3 linked regions of the Drosophila melanogaster genome follow. The gene in region 3 interacts genetically with the main gene of each other region. Each region holds a gene or a part of one and is shown on either strand. Other genes may lie near its edges.

Region 1 (6,622 bases), on a different chromosome or scaffold from region 3:
TGGCCAGCCGGCCATAACCTCACTTACCGTATGCCGGCGGCGAGCGCTGCGGCACTGGACCCAATAGCCTTCTGTTGGCCAGGATGTACGCCTGCCGGATGAACCTCTGCGTCAGACATCGGACCCCCCAAATACTCATCGTGATTTGCACTGGCTGCGGAGTAGGTGACACCACAATCCACAATTGTGTAACGTAACAACGTTGTGCGGCGAAAGAAACGTGTGTTTTGCGAGTTCGTGTTTTATTTACAAAAAAACCAATTTCTATGACAAATTTCTCCGTGTGAAGTCCGGCGGTGTTTAATTGATCTCGACTCCTTTATCCCTCCTTGCTTTTGGGTAGTCCGCGTTTAATTTATATTTATTTTTCATTCCCTCGCCTGTCTTGTTTTTTTCTGTCTCTGTCGCAGTGTGACCGTCGCAATGAAATGGGAAATGGCCCAGCGCCTATTCGAAATTATTTGGCTTGAAAATAGCCACTTTTTATCAAAAAGTGTTCGTTGGTTTTTGAAATGTTGAACAATATTTAATTTATTTTGAGCAAGTGAAATTTTAAAATCGAACTTACAAGCTCTTTGTTTTGAAAACGATAAATATTAAAAAACATGTTAAAATAAAGATGTGCTTCCAAAATAAAGAATAAAAATTCTTATGAATACCACTTATGTATGTTGTCAGTACAATTGTGCATTAATATATATTAAATACATGTGGGAACATTCATTTATCAGCACTCGCTTGCTGCAAAGCGGCTGCAGCAGCTGCTCCACTTACGGGAGGCTTGATGTCCATTAGTTGGCACAACTGGTTCCGCAGCGGACGCACCTCCACCAGCGGCTGGGTCCAGTCCGTTTCGGAGAGCAGTGTTAGGATCTCATCCATATTCTCCTCGGGCACTTCGGTGACATCGCCGTGCAGAGCCAACGCTTCGTACAATTTTGTGGCAGCGGTTTTGCGAACGTGGACGTGCTGCAGTCCAAGAAATACTGAGAGCTTGGAGAGGATGCGTTTAGACAGGCGAGGAACCTGGAGCAACTGGCAAAAAGCACTGATGCTGGTCGCAGTCTTGTACAGCTTCTTGTAGCCCTTAACCTCCAGGTTGAGCAGCCTAAAGATATCCTCTGCAAAGGGATTTGCTTCATCGTGTAGAACCGATTCTACAGTTCCGGAGCCAATGAGTATATCCAGGAAACTGAGCAGAGGATAGGTCACGCGCTCGTTTAGTAGATGCTCCTCGAAAATCTGGACCACCTCGGAGCAGAGACGCGGAACAGTCTCAGGATTGGAACGCAAGAAGTGGAATAAGGCACTGGAGGCATACTTGATCTGCAGGAAGAATATTTTAGAGATTGATATAGAGGTGGTCTATACAACTTACAAGAGATTCAGTCAGTTGACCAATGCTGGCACTCAGACCCAAAAGAACTCTTTTAGAGTAATCCGGCAGAGAGAGCAGCTCGCAGAACAGCGGGAATGTGTGATCGGCAAATAACCAAAGTACGGAATCCGCATCCGCGGGAAATATTTCCAAGAGTTTTGAGTGCTCCCGTATGTAGGGGATCCTCGGCTGATGATGGATCAGTTGGCAGCAAAGGCGACCACCTAATCCACGAGTGCGATCGATCTTCTCCACCGCCTGTTGCATAAAGCCCACGACAATCTCATGCACTTGCTCTGGGGCGAGGAGATCAGGCGGACACGTAGTGACGATTTCGTATAGCGATGACATAGCCGCCTCCCTCACCCACGCTCCGATGTCACCACGGTTGTCCAGGGTGTACTCTTGAAGAGCTCTTAACAGGCATTCGATAACCTTGTTAAAGTTTTTCGGCTCAGCAAATGAGTCTGAAAAAATAATTGTATACTAAGATTTGTTCACATTCTTAGCCCACAACTAAGATCATTGACTCACCAATTCCCCCTCCATATCCCACGGTCTTCACCAACTTGGTCAAGGCCAGCACGCTCTGTGTCCGTGCCTCGCTCCACCTGTATGCCTGGATGTTCTCGCGGTCACCCATTTCACCCACCAGAACTGCTTGCAGTGGAGTTAGGGAGTGCTTCACCAGACTGTCCAATATAGCCTGCAGATGACAGCGGATCATAAAGGATGGGAGCACACCCAGAGCAGCAATGTAGCCCATGCGAATGTGCTCCTCCAAATCGTTATCTGCACCTGTTAGATAAGTGTTGATTATGGCTTCGTTTTCCCCGTGCCTGGAATCTGAGCAGTAATAAGTGGTACAGAGTTCACCGAACGCTTCCACCGCACCATCCCGAATAGCGTTTGATTTGGTGATCAAACAGGAATCGATGACTTTCTGCCAGGAAACTGAAACGAATAAACGCAATTAAATAATATGCTTGTTATACTTTAGGGACTCTTTTCCTACCCAAGCACTCCGGCGTAGCCTGCAACTTGGCCAGACTGCAGTTCTTTATGTAGCTGCTGGTGCAAGATTTCATCAGGTCGCCGCTCATTCCGCGATAGAAATTTTTGTCTAGGAACGTTATTATTAGTTCATTCAGCTCCGCAACCCGTTGGTTGGAGAGGTAAACCACTTGGGGATCACTCTTTTCCTCTAGTTTCCGTAGGGTCAGTGTTATTTCTCCCATGGCTAAGACACAACCATGCCGGCAGTTAATATCGATGGTGTCAGTTTTTGCCAGCAGTTGCGGCAGCACCACAGCGGCCATGTACTCGGGCTCCCAAAGGGATAGTTTGTGCAGGGCTTTGGCTGTCAGCTCCCTTATAGCCGAATCCCAATGGCTTACCTTATGCTGAACTAGATGGTTAATCAATGGTTCCCTGTACACCTCAAACTGTGCAATGTAGTCACTGATGTTTAGATAGGAATTCTGCCTGATGCCCACGGAATAGAAGTCCGTCGTGGTGGAGATTTCGATTCCGAAGGGAAAGTTGCCCAGGCGTCCCACACTTTCCTGAAAAGCTGCCGAGGCAGCCCGCCTGCAGTTCACCTCGCGGTCGAACACTGCAACGGTCAGCAGGCCAGATGAGATTTTGTGCACAAATGGCTTCACATCATCCGGATTGTAAGCCCTGGCAAATGCCCAGCACATGTAGCAGGCTGAATCTCGGATGTGTTGCCCCACCGACATGTAGCCCTTCATCTCGTCGTAGAAGAGCGCCTGCATAAGGAGGGGTACTAGCTCCTCCAATCGATGTGGCAGCAGCAATCCCCTTTTTGCCAGTTCTGCCAAAGCCAGGCATGCACCATGCCAGGCCTCGTGGGGTTCCAGCGGGTTGAGTATATCAATCACAGACCCTATAACCTCATCGGCCAGCTCCTTGGGAAGGCGATTGGTGACTCTGCCTAATCCTTTGGCGGCGCTCCAGCGTATATCGTTTCCTCCGCTTCGCAGTGCCTGGAGCAGCTCCTCAATCACCTCTTCTATGGCATCGGGGACCACTATTTCCTCGCCTTCCTCCAGGGATTGCTCCAAAACAACTGGTTCACCTCCTGCCGCAGTTGTCTGGTTTAGATTGGTGGCCAGTGAACGAGTGCCTAAGAAAACACTAGTTTATTATGGTTTCATGCGTGAATAACAAACCCCAGGCTTACCTCTTTTATACCGCCAGCTGGCAATGCGTGGCTTCAAATGAACCAATCCAATTCTCTGGATGATTTTTACATAGTTCTTGTACTTGAGAAAGTCGTTGTCATCCTTGTACTGACAGGAAGTGATCCACTGAAGAAGTTTGTCCGCATAGGGCAGAAGATCTTCTCGCTTTCCGTGCTTTAAAATAGCAGCCACTGCAGCCAGTTGGCCGAACTTGACGTTCAACGTGTCCGCTTGGTGCTGCTCCATAATCCAGTCCAGGAAGCGCTCCAGATATAGATCCTTGATGTCACTGCGAATGAAATACTTGGCGGCCAGGAAAGCAGCCATGCTGCTGCATGTGTCGTTGGAGGACACATAAAGCTGGATGAGCTCGAAGATGCGATCCATCTTGGTGTTCTTCGACTGAACATGGTTCACGGGACTGCAATTGGTGGTGGGAGCAGATGTGGAGGTGTCATAGGCATCTAGTCTCGACATGTGAAAGGGATTTAGGACCAGGATAGACATCCACAGGAGCAGTATATAGCGCGTTTCCCACTGTTCGAACTCCTTGGGATTTTGCTGACCCAGCAAATCCAGAACAAACTCCAGATCGCTCAGTTCGTGTGGCATAAACTTTACCAGGACCTTATAGGTGCGCACTTTGCAGATGATGTAGAGATACTTGAAGGCTGCATGAAGCTCTCCAGTGTCTAGATCTGGCTTCCGAATCTTGTGGAGCAGTTTGCCGAGTAACTCCTCCAAATGTGGATCCAAGAGGTGTGGCTGCTCCTGATATCTAGACAAAACCTGGGCGTACTGCTCGAACTCCCTTTCGAAGGTGTTAGCGGCAATGGATTTGATGTTGTCGATCATCTCCAGCACCTGCTGCAGTTCGGTGAAGTGCTCCAGCGTGTTTGCCGGCAGGTCCTCATCCTTGCACTCTTCCACAGAATTCGACATGGCTGCTTGACGATTTTATCGAGTTTTAAACCCACAGCCGGCAACAAAATCAATTCGTTTGTGAATCATTTGTTTTACTGCCAGGGTTGCAACCCCAATGAAAGTATGCTGGTATGACACCACGAACTGACTCGTCTCTTTCTTACTGTTTTTCGACCAAAAGGGTCTTTATCTAATTCTTTATCTTTAAACTAACATTTTTTTTTGGAATCAAATGCAGTTATTGTACATTGTGCTCTTTAAACGTTTGTAATAAATCCTACTAAATAAGTTCATCTAGTGTCATAGTGCCTTTGGTGTGGCCGTTTTGCATGCACCTGGTAATACCGTTAAGCAGCTGTTCGACCAGAGCTGCCAGGCGCAATTAATCATTTATTTGTAGTGGCAAGCGAAACTGCGAGATTTAGCAAGAGCAAGATTTTGTATATTCCACCAAAACGCAGCAAAGCAAGCCCGAATTTGGGATATTAAAAGTGTTACCGTCGGGTCGAAACCGCTCACACATTCGTCGAGTTTGCTGTGAGCGCGGTCATTGCTGTGAAAATTGCGTTGAAAATTCGGGATCCGCAAGTTTCGGAGCATTGCATTTGTGGACAAACCGCAATTTCTGGTCCACTGCGCCATGAAATCAGATAACTACCGTCTCATACAGGAGGTGTCCAAGCGGCGGTGCCTGTGGGACACAAACATGTCCATTTCGTACCGCAACCAGGACGCAGCTCTCCAGTGGGCGAGTGTCGCGCAGATAATGCAGCAGGATGGTGAGTGGCGGATAAACGAGGAGGGTTTTATATGCCTAGGAAACCTATAAATAACACCTGGTCATTTTGCAGTCTCGATCTGCAAGAAACGTTTCAAGGGAATGCGGGACAGCTACCGGGCAGAGGTGCGCAAGATACAGCAGAAACGAATCGAGATGTCCCACTGGCCATACTTTCGCTCACTGGAGTTCATGCGCCAAATCTTCGATCCGGAGGGCCTGGTGCCCTTTCCACCAGAGCCCTTCGTGATGAACACCGAGCAGCCGGAAGTCTTCGAGCCCACCCGACTGGTTGACTTCGCTATCGATTTGGATTTGGACAATGATGACTCTGTTGACTTTGAAATCATCGAGGACATATTTAAGCGGGAGCCGTCAGTGCCCCAGGACTCTGGCTCGGATAAAGGCTCGCTGATCAAGCCTTTGGATTCTTCATCCTCGGGCGCCCATCGTTCCGATCAGGATCTATCGCCCACATTGCCCATACACTTGCCGCGCCACCAACAATTCCTGCCACGTCCACCCCCGCCTTCGAAGAGAGGACGTCGGAGGAAAACTTCGCCGTCTAACGATGTCCCCTTATTGAATGGATACGCCAGCCAGGCGTCAAAGTCTACCACTGAACCCGATCTAAAGAACGATTCGGACTTGAGTTTCTTGATGAGCATGATGCCGCACGTAAAGTCTCTGTCAGCCATTAGCAATCTTAAGTTTCGAATGGAGATGGCGCGCGTTCTGGTGGAACTCAGGGAGGAGGATCAGCACATGCTCGCGGCGGCGGGACCCGAAGACGTTCTAGAGCGCAGCATGCCCAAACTAACACCAGCCCCGAATTCCAGTTTTGCCACTCAGCTGGAGAAATCCCAGTACCATCTATCCAATTCCAGCTACCAAATCAGTAGCCGAAAAACACCAACTTCGTTTGACTATGTCGACAGCTCCATGGTTGAGTGCGATGTCAAGATAGAGAATGAGCCTCTGCTATGAAGACTTCATACCAAATTTTTACGATTTTACATTCACCAATAATTCTCTAAGGAGTATTCCTTTCATATTGTTACAAGTCTTAGATGAAACCCTACTCATACATGAGTAGTTGTTTGGCAAAATGCCTATCATAAGACCATTATCCACACGCTGAATTGCTTGTAAAATATTGATTTGTATTGTCCAATAATTTAACCATTTTGACTCCGGGTATGCCATTCGCGGGCTGTTTTAAAGCAATTTACACGAAATGGAATATACAAACAAAATAACAGCTGATGCTGATTAAATTTTAAGGTTTAGCTTATCATTGGGATGTCATCTGGAAGGAATTTTAATGGATTTGAA
Region 2 (4,780 bases), on a different chromosome or scaffold from region 3:
TATGTAGTATGTGGCATGTCGCGTGGGGTGACATGTTGCCCGATCTGCCGTCTGCCACAAAAACACGTGCACTCACTCGCAAATACTCATATATATGTACAAAGATATGTATAAAGATATAGGAGCCCAGATACAGATACTGTGCCACTTGAATTGAGGCAGGTTCAGCCCGCCGCACACTCATGGCCAATATTTGCCAGCAAATATGGTCGAAATCTATATTTAGACACTTACGAACCGCGAATCAACTGATCGATTCCCATCCAACGATCTCGATCTCCCTTCCCAATAATAAAAACAGAGAGAAGACAGAAAACCGGAGCGTATCGCTGTTAACTGGCTTTCTATTGGAACAGTTGGGCGCAGCGGTTAGCTGTTGATAGCCGAAAGCAAAACAAAGTCGAAACAAAAACAAGAGTGCGACTTTCAGACCTCGAGACTCTTGGCCAACTATTTTGGCTGCCGCTGCGCCCACATGGTAGCTCAACTGGTGCTAAAAAGTGATCGCCAAAAAATGATCGCACCGCCAATGCAGCGCATTAGTCAAAGCTGACTTTTTTGGCAATTTTTTTTTTTTTTGGTATTTTGTTATTTAATCTCTGTTTTTTTTTTCTTGCCATCGAATAATTTTAACTCGACATTGCGGCATTTCGTGTGTGGGTGAGAAAAGTTTGGTGGGGAATTTAGCTGAGATCATTCAGTAGGGCTAAGGACTTATAAGCATAGTCAATAATCATCGGAAATTATAGCGATTTTATTTGAGTGTGATCATCTATCAGTCAATGAATTGGTATTCACAGAGATCACTTGATAATCATGAGTTGTATCCATTAAGTGGACAAATTAGTTAGTTCAGTGAGTGATATGATATGATAAATTAATTCTAAGAACTACTAAAAAGATATTAACTGGAAAGAGCCCGAAGAAAGGAAATGGTATCCCAAAAATATCTGGGCACATACGTTTGTATGTATATGATGGGATCGCAACGATTCCTACGTGTATTTAAATGACCATCGCGATAAGCCAAAAAAGCCAAAATATACGAGTGGGATTAGTGGGCATATACAGATGCGATGTTCCCATGCTGAGCGACGAGGATCATTAGCGAAGTAAACCACTGACGATCGCTATCATAATACTGGCATGGCAAACATACGTACGTACAGAGATACCTGGCTGACTGACTGACCAGCGAAAGCAACCCATTGATAAGACCGCTACAGTGGACTATCTAAACCTAATAGCTGTGACAACCGCAAATTGCATGAGGAATACCATATCGACCGGAGGGGTAGTACCGCAGGGTAGGGGAATGTACAGGTAGTGGGACACAGGTAATGACAATAAACATTCTCCACTTATCAGCAATCCGCTGATGCACGCACACAGAGCGAAAATTAGGGCACGTTTCACGCACACCACGGTTTTGGATATTATGTTAGATAATATAGATTATAATTGTTATACCATTTTGCTCTATTTATATATTTTTATATCTTAAGAATGCCTAATTAGTCAATAGTAATAGTAGACCTTGTTTGCTCTGTGCACTTGTGGTTAAGGAAATATTGAGATGATGTTGCGGTTTTGGTTTAGACTTGGAGCTCAGACTTAAGTTTTGGGTTTTTGCCTTTTGATTTTTCGTTTTTTTTTTTTGGCATGCGATAAGACTCGAGACAAAGCCAATTTCCCGCCGATTTCATTGGAAAGATATGGAGTATAGGGGGTTATACATATGTGCTAGCAACAGCTGATTAGCCATTTGAGCAATTTGCAGCACAATCCGTACACATTATCAAAATTTGAGCCGTTTATCATCAGGTGCGTGAAAGCAAGAGGGCGGTGCCCGATGAGGTGAGGAAATGACAACGGCGACAGGAATGCGAATGCGAATATACGAATGCGAATGCGATTGTATGTATGAATGGTATGTAGATGTACGATGGGTATATATGGTAGGTGCTATAAGGTGGCCTGCGAATACCTGGCCGATTAGCAATCCACTGTCAAAATGCATTGAAAGCGAAAGACGACACTAAAGGAAACAGGGACCAAGGGTGCAATGTACCGAGTGTGTAAACCGAAGAGAACCAGGCACAATGTAAAGAAATCCAACGCACTTTTGGCGAGAAAGACAAAAGAGCTTTTCACTCAGAAAAAAAAAAGAATAGTTGTACAGCAGTAATTATTACTATTTATTTAAAGTTAGGTTTTAATCTTTTTCCAAAGATATTGTACAAAGATTTAGTATGATAACCCAAACTGGGAGCAATTAATGGCCAATCCAAATTCACCATCTCGAGTGTGCACTGTATTTTCTTCGAGTGAAAGAAGGGCAAGCGATCAAGAGAGATAGAGTGAGAAGAGAGAGCGGGTGGAAGAGCGAAAAAAGGAGTCCGCGTGGTCGGTGAACTTGAACTTGTGAAAGGATGGGGGAACTACCGGTAAGTGGCTTTATGGATGGGCTACGATCATCACTTTCAATTAAATTACCAGGGGAACGCCAATGCCGCCAAAAGTCGCAACCCGGGAGCCTAGGAACTGGGAATCTCTAGTTCTGAAGATCTCAAGATCTCTGGAACCTGCTCCAATTTTTGTGCGCACTCGCACTCACTCGCCGACAAACTTCACTTCACTTTTCGCACTTAACTCGGCTGCTGTTGTTGTTGTTGTTACAAAACAATTAAATATAAATAACAACGTTGTAGCGCAAATAAAAAAAATTAAACAAAAAAAAATAAATAAAGACCGGGGGAAAAATATAAAAAAAAAGATGTGTATTTAATTGAGCGCGACACGCAGTGATCTTGTGCGACACAATATTATTTTACTTGAGTTGCAGCACAATTTCAATTCTCGCGATCGCCTTACGACTACGGGACTACGGCTTTACGGATTCCGAAGATTACGGGTTCAATTTCTTCTCCACAATTCTCCTTCAGCGAACGAACGAACGAACAACCGACCGACCGACCGACCGTTTGTGGCCGAGTGCGAACTCGAACTAAACTGAACTGAACTGAAGCCGCCGACAAAACGAAGATCGTCGCCGGCAGCAACAACTCGCTGCGATAATAGCAGCAGCAACAACAACAGCAACAACACAAGCAAAATTACGAGATGCGAAACGATGGCGCACAGTGGTCACACTCCTACTGAAAACTCTCCATTCAGTTGATGGATAATGTTAAAAGTTCTTTGCGCCACAAGATATGTATATGAATCTAAACTATTTATCAATAATAAAAGTATATTAAGAGGTATTTTTAACTTAACAGCACAATGGTCGAAGAGTTAAGGAAAGTTGTATCATATGTTTACAGAACATGTTAACAGCACTTTACTCCACAAGATATATGAAACCATGGAGTAATAGCTTAATAGTTAAACTATATTAAAAAAGAACTTAAACTTAACTCTATTGTGGTCACATGTCAGTCATAAGATCTTACATTTTTCAATATATTAATTACAACCATTTACCCAACCATACTAATTTATGAAAGTATAATATCAAAACTATAATATAATGTATTAAGCAAACTTTACGCTTACTCATAGATCATTGTTGTCACTGTGGTTAACATAGGTTGTAAGGAAGATAGCAAAGTTTTTAACTTTGTTAAAGAAATATTTAATATTAAAGTTTATTCTTCTGCTACTAAGTCAACTTACTGTATTAAAAGTTTCCTAAACTATTCTTTCCGTAAATTAACAATGTTTTAAAATGGAAATTACTATGAATGCAATGGATTGTTATATTGGTGTTTTACGGTTACAAAATTTTCTTTAAAAAAGCGCGGAGTTGGCAAAAAATAAATATTGCTCACCAAAGTGAATTATTAAACGGCAGGTGCTGATTTACTTTCGATTTTGGAAAAGGTGCTTGTAATTATCAAAAATTTATGCTGTCCCAATTTAATTAAACGTGTAATGCAAAATAAGCTTATATTGTTTAAAACAAGTTATAGCTGAAAGCCAAAGCTATGGCACATGGAAATCTAAAATGGTTGTTTTGCAATATATCAGTAATATTTTTTCACATGGTACTGCTGACCAAATCAATATTTCTTGCTGTAAAATGAGACTTTTAATTGTCGGAAAATTATGACACCCATAAATTTTAATTAGCAATCTGTTCTTTTTGTCTTTCGTTGTTTGGTTTTAGCTGGAAATTGAATGCACAGACTTTGGTTCACAATCTTAACAGATTCTCTTGAAAATTATCTTTTATCAGTTTTACTATCGTATATGAATAAGTATTTATATTAAAAGATATATTATTGTGCTTAACCCGGTTATATCTTGTTAAGAGGGCGACGTGTTTGTTTCGCTTGATTTGCAGCTTTGTTTGCTATGTGATCGCATTTTTTGCTCGCACTTATTAATTTTTTTTTTTTACAATTCACCTTGTATTGCCAGCCACAAACAATTTGAAAACGCGAAAACTGTCGATGACCGATAAGCAATTGTCGATTACCGATTAGCGTTTTGACTTCTGGAATTGGAAAGAAGCTTCTGATTTCTGATTTTTCACCTTTTTTTTAGCCCTTCCATTTCGAAATTCAGGTTTTCTTGACAGACCCCCATACCCGCCCCATTTGTCGTGTTGTTCTTCTTGTTGTTGTAAAGTGCCATTGTGTCGTGTCGTCGATCTCATTCGCAAATTATCTTTGTTTGCGAAATTGTAATTGTTTTTGCCGTGCACAATTCAGCAAGAAACCGAAGAAAAGGGCTGGTCTCGAAGTCACATTACCCTCTGATAGTTATTATTCCT
Region 3 (7,941 bases):
CGAGGACGAACTTATTCCGGAGCTGGTTTGAGTATAGCGCTGCGGGGACGGATTCGATGACTCGTAGACCTGGAAGGTAAGGTAGTTAACTTGCTGGCTCAACATGTTACTTTCTTTCCATTTACCGTCTCCACGGTGGGACCATGGCTGTGGTAGGACTGGATGTACCGCTCGAACTCCTGGTTCTGGCGGAGCTGCTGGTTGCGCTGTCGAAACTGGCCACTATGAGGACTCGGCGGCTGCTGGTGGATGGAGGGGCGTCGGCTGTGATTCCGGCGACGGGGCAGTCGTCCGTTCTTGGACATAGGTGACTGACCCTGAGCTGGCGGCTGCAATCCCAATCCCTGGCGAGGAGACAGCTGCTGGGGCTGCTGTTGCTGCTGGGTTTGAGACACCTGTTGCTGCTGTTGTTGCTGGGACTGGGATAGCACCTGCTGCTGTCGCTCCTGGATGCGTTGAAACTGCTGATCCTCATCCCTCTGAGGACCCGCCCTCAGCTCGGCCGGAGCCATACCATCGACGTACTTCACATCCGCCGGATTTGTGGCCGGTTGCTGTGCAATCGAGATGTTGACATGGGTGGCCGCATCCACCTGGCTGCAGGCCACCAGCAGGAGCACCAGCACTCCTCGGAACATCCTGTTCTAATCCTGTTACCAATCCGAAGTCAAAAATCCTAGCTGTGTGTCCAATCACTGCTGACCACCACCAAAGCTGACCGCTGTCTGATCGATAGTGGAGTGTGCTCCGCATATTTATACGGATTTTGGGTGGATTCGGAATCAAAATTGGGGGAGCGATCGCATTCGCAATCGCGATCGCGATCAGTGTCAAAGTCAACTGCAGCACTGGGAATAGCAATGCATACACACTATGGCGACAATAGCTTCGATAGCTTCGCTACTGACCTGGGCCAAACTGTTTAGGGATGAGTCTCAGATGCTTAACCTAGTTCTACAATTAAAGGCATTCGAGCGATCGCATTTGAGCGATGATGCATTCAACAAATTGCTGTCATCGCTTCACACTTGTGTGGCACGCACCAGCACTGAGAGAAAAGGGGCCTAAGTTCGTTCATATATCACAGATATATCATTTAATATGCGATTTTATTAAAATAATTTCTTGGGAAAATTTGGGAAAAGTTCTTTCGGGTAAAAGAAGCTAATCCAATAGAGATCTTTAATTTCGCTCCAGCTCATCAGTTTGGTTTTTCTCCGCCTGATCTCCACTGCGAATTTCGATGGCATCCGTAAATGGTGAGTGCAGCATTTTCATGTAATTGTCGGAAGGTCGGAGTCGCCGCTCCATTGGCAGCTGGTTTGAACTTGAAATCCGGCCGAGACGTTGAACTGCTCCACTGGAGGAGGAGCAGCTCGAGATCGGCGCCCCAATGGGCTGACGGATTCGCATTTGTTGGTTTTGGGGGTGCTGGTCAGGCAAACTTGCGCAATCGAAGTTTGGCGAGCATTTGGCGAACACTCGGAGCACTCGAATTCGGAAAGAAGGTAAAGGTTAATGTGAAGTACTTTTGCTTCTTTCTGCACTTAAAGTAACCACCAATAAGGTCAAATTGGTAAGGGGGAATATTTTAAAACAGATATTGCCTACTCACAGAAAAAGTAACTTTTCTTTCAAAAATATCTAAAGGATATTAAAGCAAACTTGTTTTGAATATCATTATAGAGAAAGGCAAATATGGGTTTTAAAATCTAAAACTCAGACTAATTGATCAAGGTCCTTTCAAAGATTAATTAGTTTTAAAACAATGCGAGCTTTCGTGGTCATTAAGTTGAACAAGTTTTCAAAAATTGTGCTCTACCGTTGAAAACATCATACCTTTCTTTTGTGAATTTCGTTTTTCCCTTAATATGACATCTCCAAATTTCACAGTCACCTAACAAATATATATGGCTTGGAAACAGAAAAATAAACTCCTTTTTGACACTTGTAAAAACCAGTTAAGCTGTGGCGCCGTAAACGCCAGATCCTCGATGATGCAGTCCATCCAGTCTAGGATCAACGTGCTTAACACCATTGCTGCTTCCAGCAAGCGGATTGAACGCGCCAGCGTTGACACGGTAAGTCCGAATTGATACAGTTCCAACTACCGATCAAAGTACGTGCCCGGCGTCGCCAAACACCCAGGTGATAGTGTGGTAACCACGAATGGCGTTTATTATGTTTGCGGGTGGGAATCAAAACCAGTAAGGAGTAGACAATATATATACCATGCGGTGCATGTGGCCGGCCACAAGACTATCTGTGGCCAGACGGTTACAAGCTAAAGCTACGCGAAAACACAGTCCAAAAGAGCAGCTAACGTCTAGGGCACATCTACAGCAGCTTTTCAATGTCCTTGGCGATGTCCATGGGATCGGTGGTCGGGGCATATCGGTTGATGGGCACGCCCTCCTTGTTCACCAGAAACTTGGTGAAGTTCCACTTGATTCCGCTGCCCAGGGTGCCGGTCTGCTTGGCCTTTAGGTATTTGTACAGCGGCGCCGCATTGTCTCCATTCACATCGACCTGCGGGGGTGGGGCAAGTTTAGTGACTCGGTCTACAGCAATCGGCTAGCAGCTTTAATAGTCTTACCTTGGCGAACACCTCGCCGATGTCAGCCTTGGAGTCGCGCAGGTGGCACACCATGGCCTCTCCATCGGCCTCCGGCATCTGGGACCCAAACTGATTGCACGGGAAGTTGAGGATCACCAGGCCGCGCTCGCCGTACTTCTCCTTTAGATCCGTCAGCTTCTCGTAGTTGTTCTTGGTCAGGCCGCACTTGGAGGCGATGTTCACCACCAGGACCACCTTGCCCTTGTACTTTTCCAGGGAAACATCGTTGCCATGGGTATCCTTCACGGTGAACTCGTAGATCGAGGCGGCGTTCTTGTAATCTCCGTTAGCAGACATGTCGATCTGGAAGCAATAGAAAGTGGGAGTTAGAATTGGGTAATTACTAGTGGCTGTGAAGGCTTGGGTCGATGTTTTGATCAAGAGATATAGATATTTATAGCCTTATCTTCAATCGGGGTATGAAACACTATATTCTGTATCAAAATCGACCCAGGCTACGCGGTTCATTGCAGTGAACAGGCAACAGAGAACAGAGAACAGAGAACACAGGCAGTGGCAAAGGCTACAACGTTTAGTTAGGCGCAGAATCAAGCAACTGAGTTAGTCAACGGGTTAGGATCTAGTCAACTAGCAATCAGCACTACTCACGGCAGCTGCTGTGGAGTGCTGGGCGGCTGAGGAGATGGCGTTCATGGGCGTGGCCGCACAGCTCACGGGAAGCATGATGGTGCAGAGGCGAAGGCACTGCCTCTGACCGCGACTCAGCTCGAGGACGGGGCCAGGGGTCCGCCTCATCGAGTAGCACCTGAGGGCCTGGCGGGAAATGTTCTGAAACTGCCTGAGACTCATTCTTTAAATGCTGCAAATAATAACCGGGCAGAATGTTCAAATTTAGTGAAAGCTTAGGCAAGTGAAGGAATTACTGGTGTGGATGTGTACGTTGTGTATCAGATCGAACAACAATCGTTTCAAAACAATTCAAATGGGAAAATATAAAAATCAAGTCCACATTTCTACTGATTAACGAAATAGTTAAGTAGATAAGAGCAAGTAGTAAGTAAAGTAGTAAGATAGCTCAAAGCTATCTTATTTCCGAATAAGAAAGTGTGGAAATGTATGTGGTGTATAGATTGTATTCGACAACCCGACGACAAACATCCAAGATTATTTCACGTTTTGATAATGGGTTTCCTAATAGTTGTATGTTGTTTCATAGACATTTACGAGGGTGCTATCAGGCTTCTGGTTACAGTGACGCTGCATAATTCATCGGGGTCAAAGTCAAGAGCTATATGTACATATATGTATATCCCAGCACCCTGTGAGTCACGCAACCTAGTGGCTACGCACAGTGACCTTTAAGCTGGCCAGGATTGGCCCACGTAACCCACGACGCTGCCTCGTTACCGTCGCTGATTGCACATGCATGCCATTGTTCGAGTTGATTGGACAGCAATTTGAAGGGATAGTTAGTGTTGTGGGTAATTACTTGCATGGTGAAGTAGATGTACGATCCCAGGGCGATTGCCACGGACCCCAGAAAAAAGTGGACGATGGAGCGGCCAGCCATTACTGAGCTATATATCGACTATGTGTACGATTTCACAACGATCTGCTGCGAGTTTCGGATGCAGGGATACAAATATAGAATGCGAATGCCGAGATTCTGCAAGCTCACGCTGATATGGGCGAAAATCGGGAGCAAAGTTCAGATTCGATTCGACTGTTTTCCCTGCTCTATATACATATATTCTTGTCACCTCGACCAGCTGTGTTTTTGGGCTGATTATGCTGTGCTTAATCTCGACAGCTGGGTATTATTGTTTGGGCTTACTTATGGCGTAATAGCAATGACTAATGGAACTGGGCACTTTCTCACTTTCGAAGCGTAAATAAAACTGAAACCGGCGACTTGCAAAAACCCTTATTTATATGTGTAGGTGAAAGCACTTGTAATGTTCTGGTCTGGTCACACTAGGAGCACAACTTTTCCAGAGTTGCCAAGTGTGGTGGTTAAGCCCTACTTTCTAAATTTAAGCATGAAAGTAAAAGCCTTTAATTAGAGCTTCAAATTGTATATATCATTACTATTGATTATCATTTTGTAAACACAAAATATCAAAATGAAACAATCCCTATTCCTAATATTAGTACAAATCAAACAGAACCCTTATTTCAAATTTAAAGCAGCGGCAATTGCATCAGTCGCTGCCACATCCGATCGAACGGCCTTGCCAGACGGCCAACACCATTTGCTGTTTGGTATTTTCCGACCACACAGCAAACGGTCGTACGAATTTTCTTCTTTTTCCATTGTGCGTTTTTGTTTTTGGCGAGAAACAAATTGCAGTCGAAATTACCCAGTGAAATGCAGTGCGAATTGCTTAGTACGTCCATGTGCTACTAAGACCAAGTGGGAGAGAAAACCAGCGAGCAGGAGCAACCACGCCCACGCCAGGCGCACCGCCCACCGCCGCAGGATACACATACACGAGTAGCCCACACTCACGCACATACACTTCCACACAAAAGAGATCCCTGTGTGGCGAAAAAGGATTGGCGGAATGATGCTCACATCCATAAACAACTCCTTTGAGCAGGACACCCACGATGCGGACGCCAACTGCGACGGGCCCGACCTGGACTTCGTGTACGCGGACGTGGATGGCTATCAGAACGAGATCGCTGAACTGTATAGCTACACGGAGTTCAGCGAGTTTCAGATGAACGTGAAGGCCTTCGAGGACCAGATGGAGCTGTACGACCTGCCGCCCAACTGGCAGAAGCAGGACTCCGCCTCCCAGCGCGGCATCGTGATGAAGCTGGTGGACCAGCTGGAGGTCTCCGATCGATCCTTTCGCATGCAGGCCGCCCGGTGCATCCTTTACCTGGCCCAAGGCTGCTGGGCGGAGGTTCAGTCGGACGAGGAGCAGCACCAGATCACCAGGGACAATGTGCTGGTGCTCTACCAACTCGGCGTCTTCGCCTCCTTCATCGACCTGCTCAACATGGAGATCGAAAGCGCCTGCTCTCCGGACATTGTGGCCGTCAAGATCACTAACGTCACGCTTGTGGACTCCACGGACATTCGGGTGATCCTATCTGTGCTCTACATCATCACAGAAACGATTCGCGATGAAAAGGAAAAGGGCAGCGAAGACTACAGAGAGCTGGCCGACTCCTTTGTGCAAGAAATCAACTCACCACTACCAGATGGCGAACTTCTGGCCGTCAAGCTGTTGGGCATGATCACACGGTTTTGCAGTGGCGCAGCACCGCAGTTCCCCATGAAGAAGGTTGTCCTCCTGCTGTGGAAAGTTTCGCTGCTGGGACTGGGAGGCATGGATGTGCTCAAGAATCTCAAGAACGAGTATCGATTGAAGGTGGGTTTGGAACCCATCACCGAGGACACGCTGGAGGTTACCAAGTGCATGCGAGCCAGCTCACCGCCGGCCACAGCTACTGATATACTGGAGAACCAGTATCCCAAGCGGAACTTCAAGTAAGCGGAGTCTTAGATCACTTATGTACACTTTTCAATACATTCATTTTCCTTGCCGCACAGACGCTCCCTGATGAAGCAGCGTTTTTTGGACGAGCCCGAGCAGATAGACATGGAGATGGGCGGCAACGAGGGTCAAAATAATGCCAACAATGGCAGCGGCAATGGCGGAAACGGGGAGGAAGAACTCTCTCAGTACTACCGACCCTACGATGACCCCTCTTCGTCGGCATCCACCACCTCGACGGCAAATCCAAACAACCAGCCTAGCCTAACACAGCCACCCGCTGCTGTGCCTCCGGTACAGATCACGGCTCGCCTGCCCTGGACGCCTAAGGTGCGACAAAAGGACATTGACCAGTTTCTGGACATTTCGCGGAATAAGTTCATCGGGTATTCACTGATTGGTGACCACGAGAGTCTGGCTGGACTGCCGCAACCCATTCACGAGGGCTTTAAGACGCTGCAGCGGCACATGTATATGAGCCTGGCCGATGTGCAAATTAAGAAGGAGGAGGACATAGCTAGGAACCCCATTTCCACGCACGAGGACGAAATCAAACTGACCCCGGCTGAGGTGTTGTACCAAGCCATCCTGCCAAACCTGCCGCAGTATATGATCGCCCTTCTCAAGGTCCTGCTGGCAGCTTCGCCAACGTCCAAGTCCAAGACGGAGAGCATCAACATAATGGCCGATGTGCTGCCTAGGAAGATGCCGCTGACGGCCACCCAATCAACAAAGCTAACCGTCGACATTGGTCGGCACAAGGAGATCATTGTGAAGGCTGTCTCGGCCATCATCCTGCTATATTTAAAGCATTTCAAGATAAACCATGTTTACCAGTTTGAGTTCATGTCGCAGCATCTCGTGTTCGCCAACTGCATCCCGCTGGTTTTGAAGTTCTTCAATCAGACAATCACGGAGTACGTGAACACCAAGAACTCCATTCCTCTGCTCGATTTCCCGTCGTGTGTGATTGGTGAGCAACCGGATTTGAGTGGCGATAGCTTTGTGTATGGCGGAGAGATGTCCGATAAGTCCTACTCTTGGCGGAACGTGTTCTCCTGCATAAACCTGCTGCGCATCCTCAACAAGCTGATCAAGTGGAAGCACTCGCGAGTGATGATGCTGGTGGTATTCAAGTCGGCACCAATCCTGAAGAAGACGCTTAAGGTGCGCCACGCCATGATGCAGCTGTACGTGCTGAAGCTGCTCAAGATGCAGACCAAGTACTTGGGCCGCCAGTGGCGGAAGTCCAATATGAAGACCATGAGTGCAATTTACGCCAAGGTGCGGCATCGTCTAAACGACGATTGGGCCTTTGGCAACGACTTGGAGTCGCGTCCCTGGGACTTCCAGGCGGAGGAGTGTACGCTGCGGGCCTGCGTGGATCGATTCAACCTGCGACGCTATCCGGAAGCCACCCAGAAGTGTGGAAACAACGGCACGGCAGCTCAGAATGCGGAGAACGCCCAGCAATCCAACATGATGGCGGGCAACAATGGATGTGGCAATAATGGCGACGCAAATGGCTATGGAAACAACGGTGGCGGTGGCAATGGCGGCCACAACCAGCAGCAGCAGCTCAACGACTATGGTGTGGAGGGTGGCTTTCCCAGCGACGAGATCCTTACCCACTCGGACTTTGCCTTCTTCGGTCACTCGGGTTGGTGGGATCGCAAGGTCGAGCTGACGGATTACTTCAAGGCCAATTACGCGGTCTGGCTGGAGGAGGAGGTCTACAACAGTCAGACCGACTGGGACGCCCTCTAGGGCAGGGCTGCCATCGGTGAGCAACTGCATACCGCATGTGCCCCGTCACACTTTTATTTACGTGATTCCTTTTTGAATTACAGCTGC

What was found. A genetic interaction does not mean that the proteins touch.
Region 1: of Strip (region 3) and Tbcd, changing one enhances a phenotype caused by changing the other (phenotypic enhancement), as found in Drosophila melanogaster (one study listed by BioGRID).
Region 2: of Strip (region 3) and spri, changing one enhances a phenotype caused by changing the other (phenotypic enhancement), as found in Drosophila melanogaster (one study listed by BioGRID).

The regions. Positions count from the first base shown.
Region 1 is NT_033779.5:2,145,552-2,152,173, reverse strand, and holds Tbcd (Tubulin-binding cofactor D), read right to left. Parts: upstream 4,657-6,622; 5' UTR 4,528-4,656; coding exon 3,585-4,527; intron 3,528-3,584; coding exon 2,394-3,527; intron 2,333-2,393; coding exon 1,913-2,332; intron 1,846-1,912; coding exon 1,379-1,845; intron 1,327-1,378; coding exon 721-1,326; 3' UTR 510-720; downstream 1-509. Other genes in the region: AIF (apoptosis inducing factor), read right to left, coding at 28-139; CG11723 (uncharacterized protein), read left to right, coding at 5,150-5,288, 5,361-6,274.
Region 2 is NC_004354.4:10,582,414-10,587,193, forward strand, and holds the start of spri (sprint), read right to left. Parts: upstream 3,010-4,780; 5' UTR 2,497-3,009; intron 1-2,496. UniProt on the Drosophila melanogaster protein: Potential Ras effector protein. May function as a guanine nucleotide exchange (GEF), by exchanging bound GDP for free GTP.
Region 3 is NT_037436.4:3,322,839-3,330,779, reverse strand, and holds the start of Strip (striatin interacting protein), read left to right. Parts: upstream 1-1,908; 5' UTR 1,909-1,910; coding exon 1,911-2,081; intron 2,082-2,153; exon of another isoform or gene 2,154-2,337; coding exon of another isoform or gene 2,338-2,529; intron 2,530-2,596; coding exon of another isoform or gene 2,597-2,920; intron 2,921-3,226; coding exon of another isoform or gene 3,227-3,427; exon of another isoform or gene 3,428-3,437; intron 3,438-4,067; coding exon of another isoform or gene 4,068-4,148; exon of another isoform or gene 4,149-4,515; intron 4,516-4,743; exon of another isoform or gene 4,744-5,142; coding exon of another isoform or gene 5,143-5,178; coding exon 5,179-6,080; intron 6,081-6,143; coding exon 6,144-7,854; 3' UTR 7,855-7,870; intron 7,871-7,937; 3' UTR 7,938-7,941. Other genes in the region: CG14961 (uncharacterized protein), read right to left, coding at 1-69, 126-638; Gtpx (glutathione peroxidase homolog with thioredoxin peroxidase activity), read right to left, coding at 2,338-2,529, 2,597-2,920, 3,227-3,427.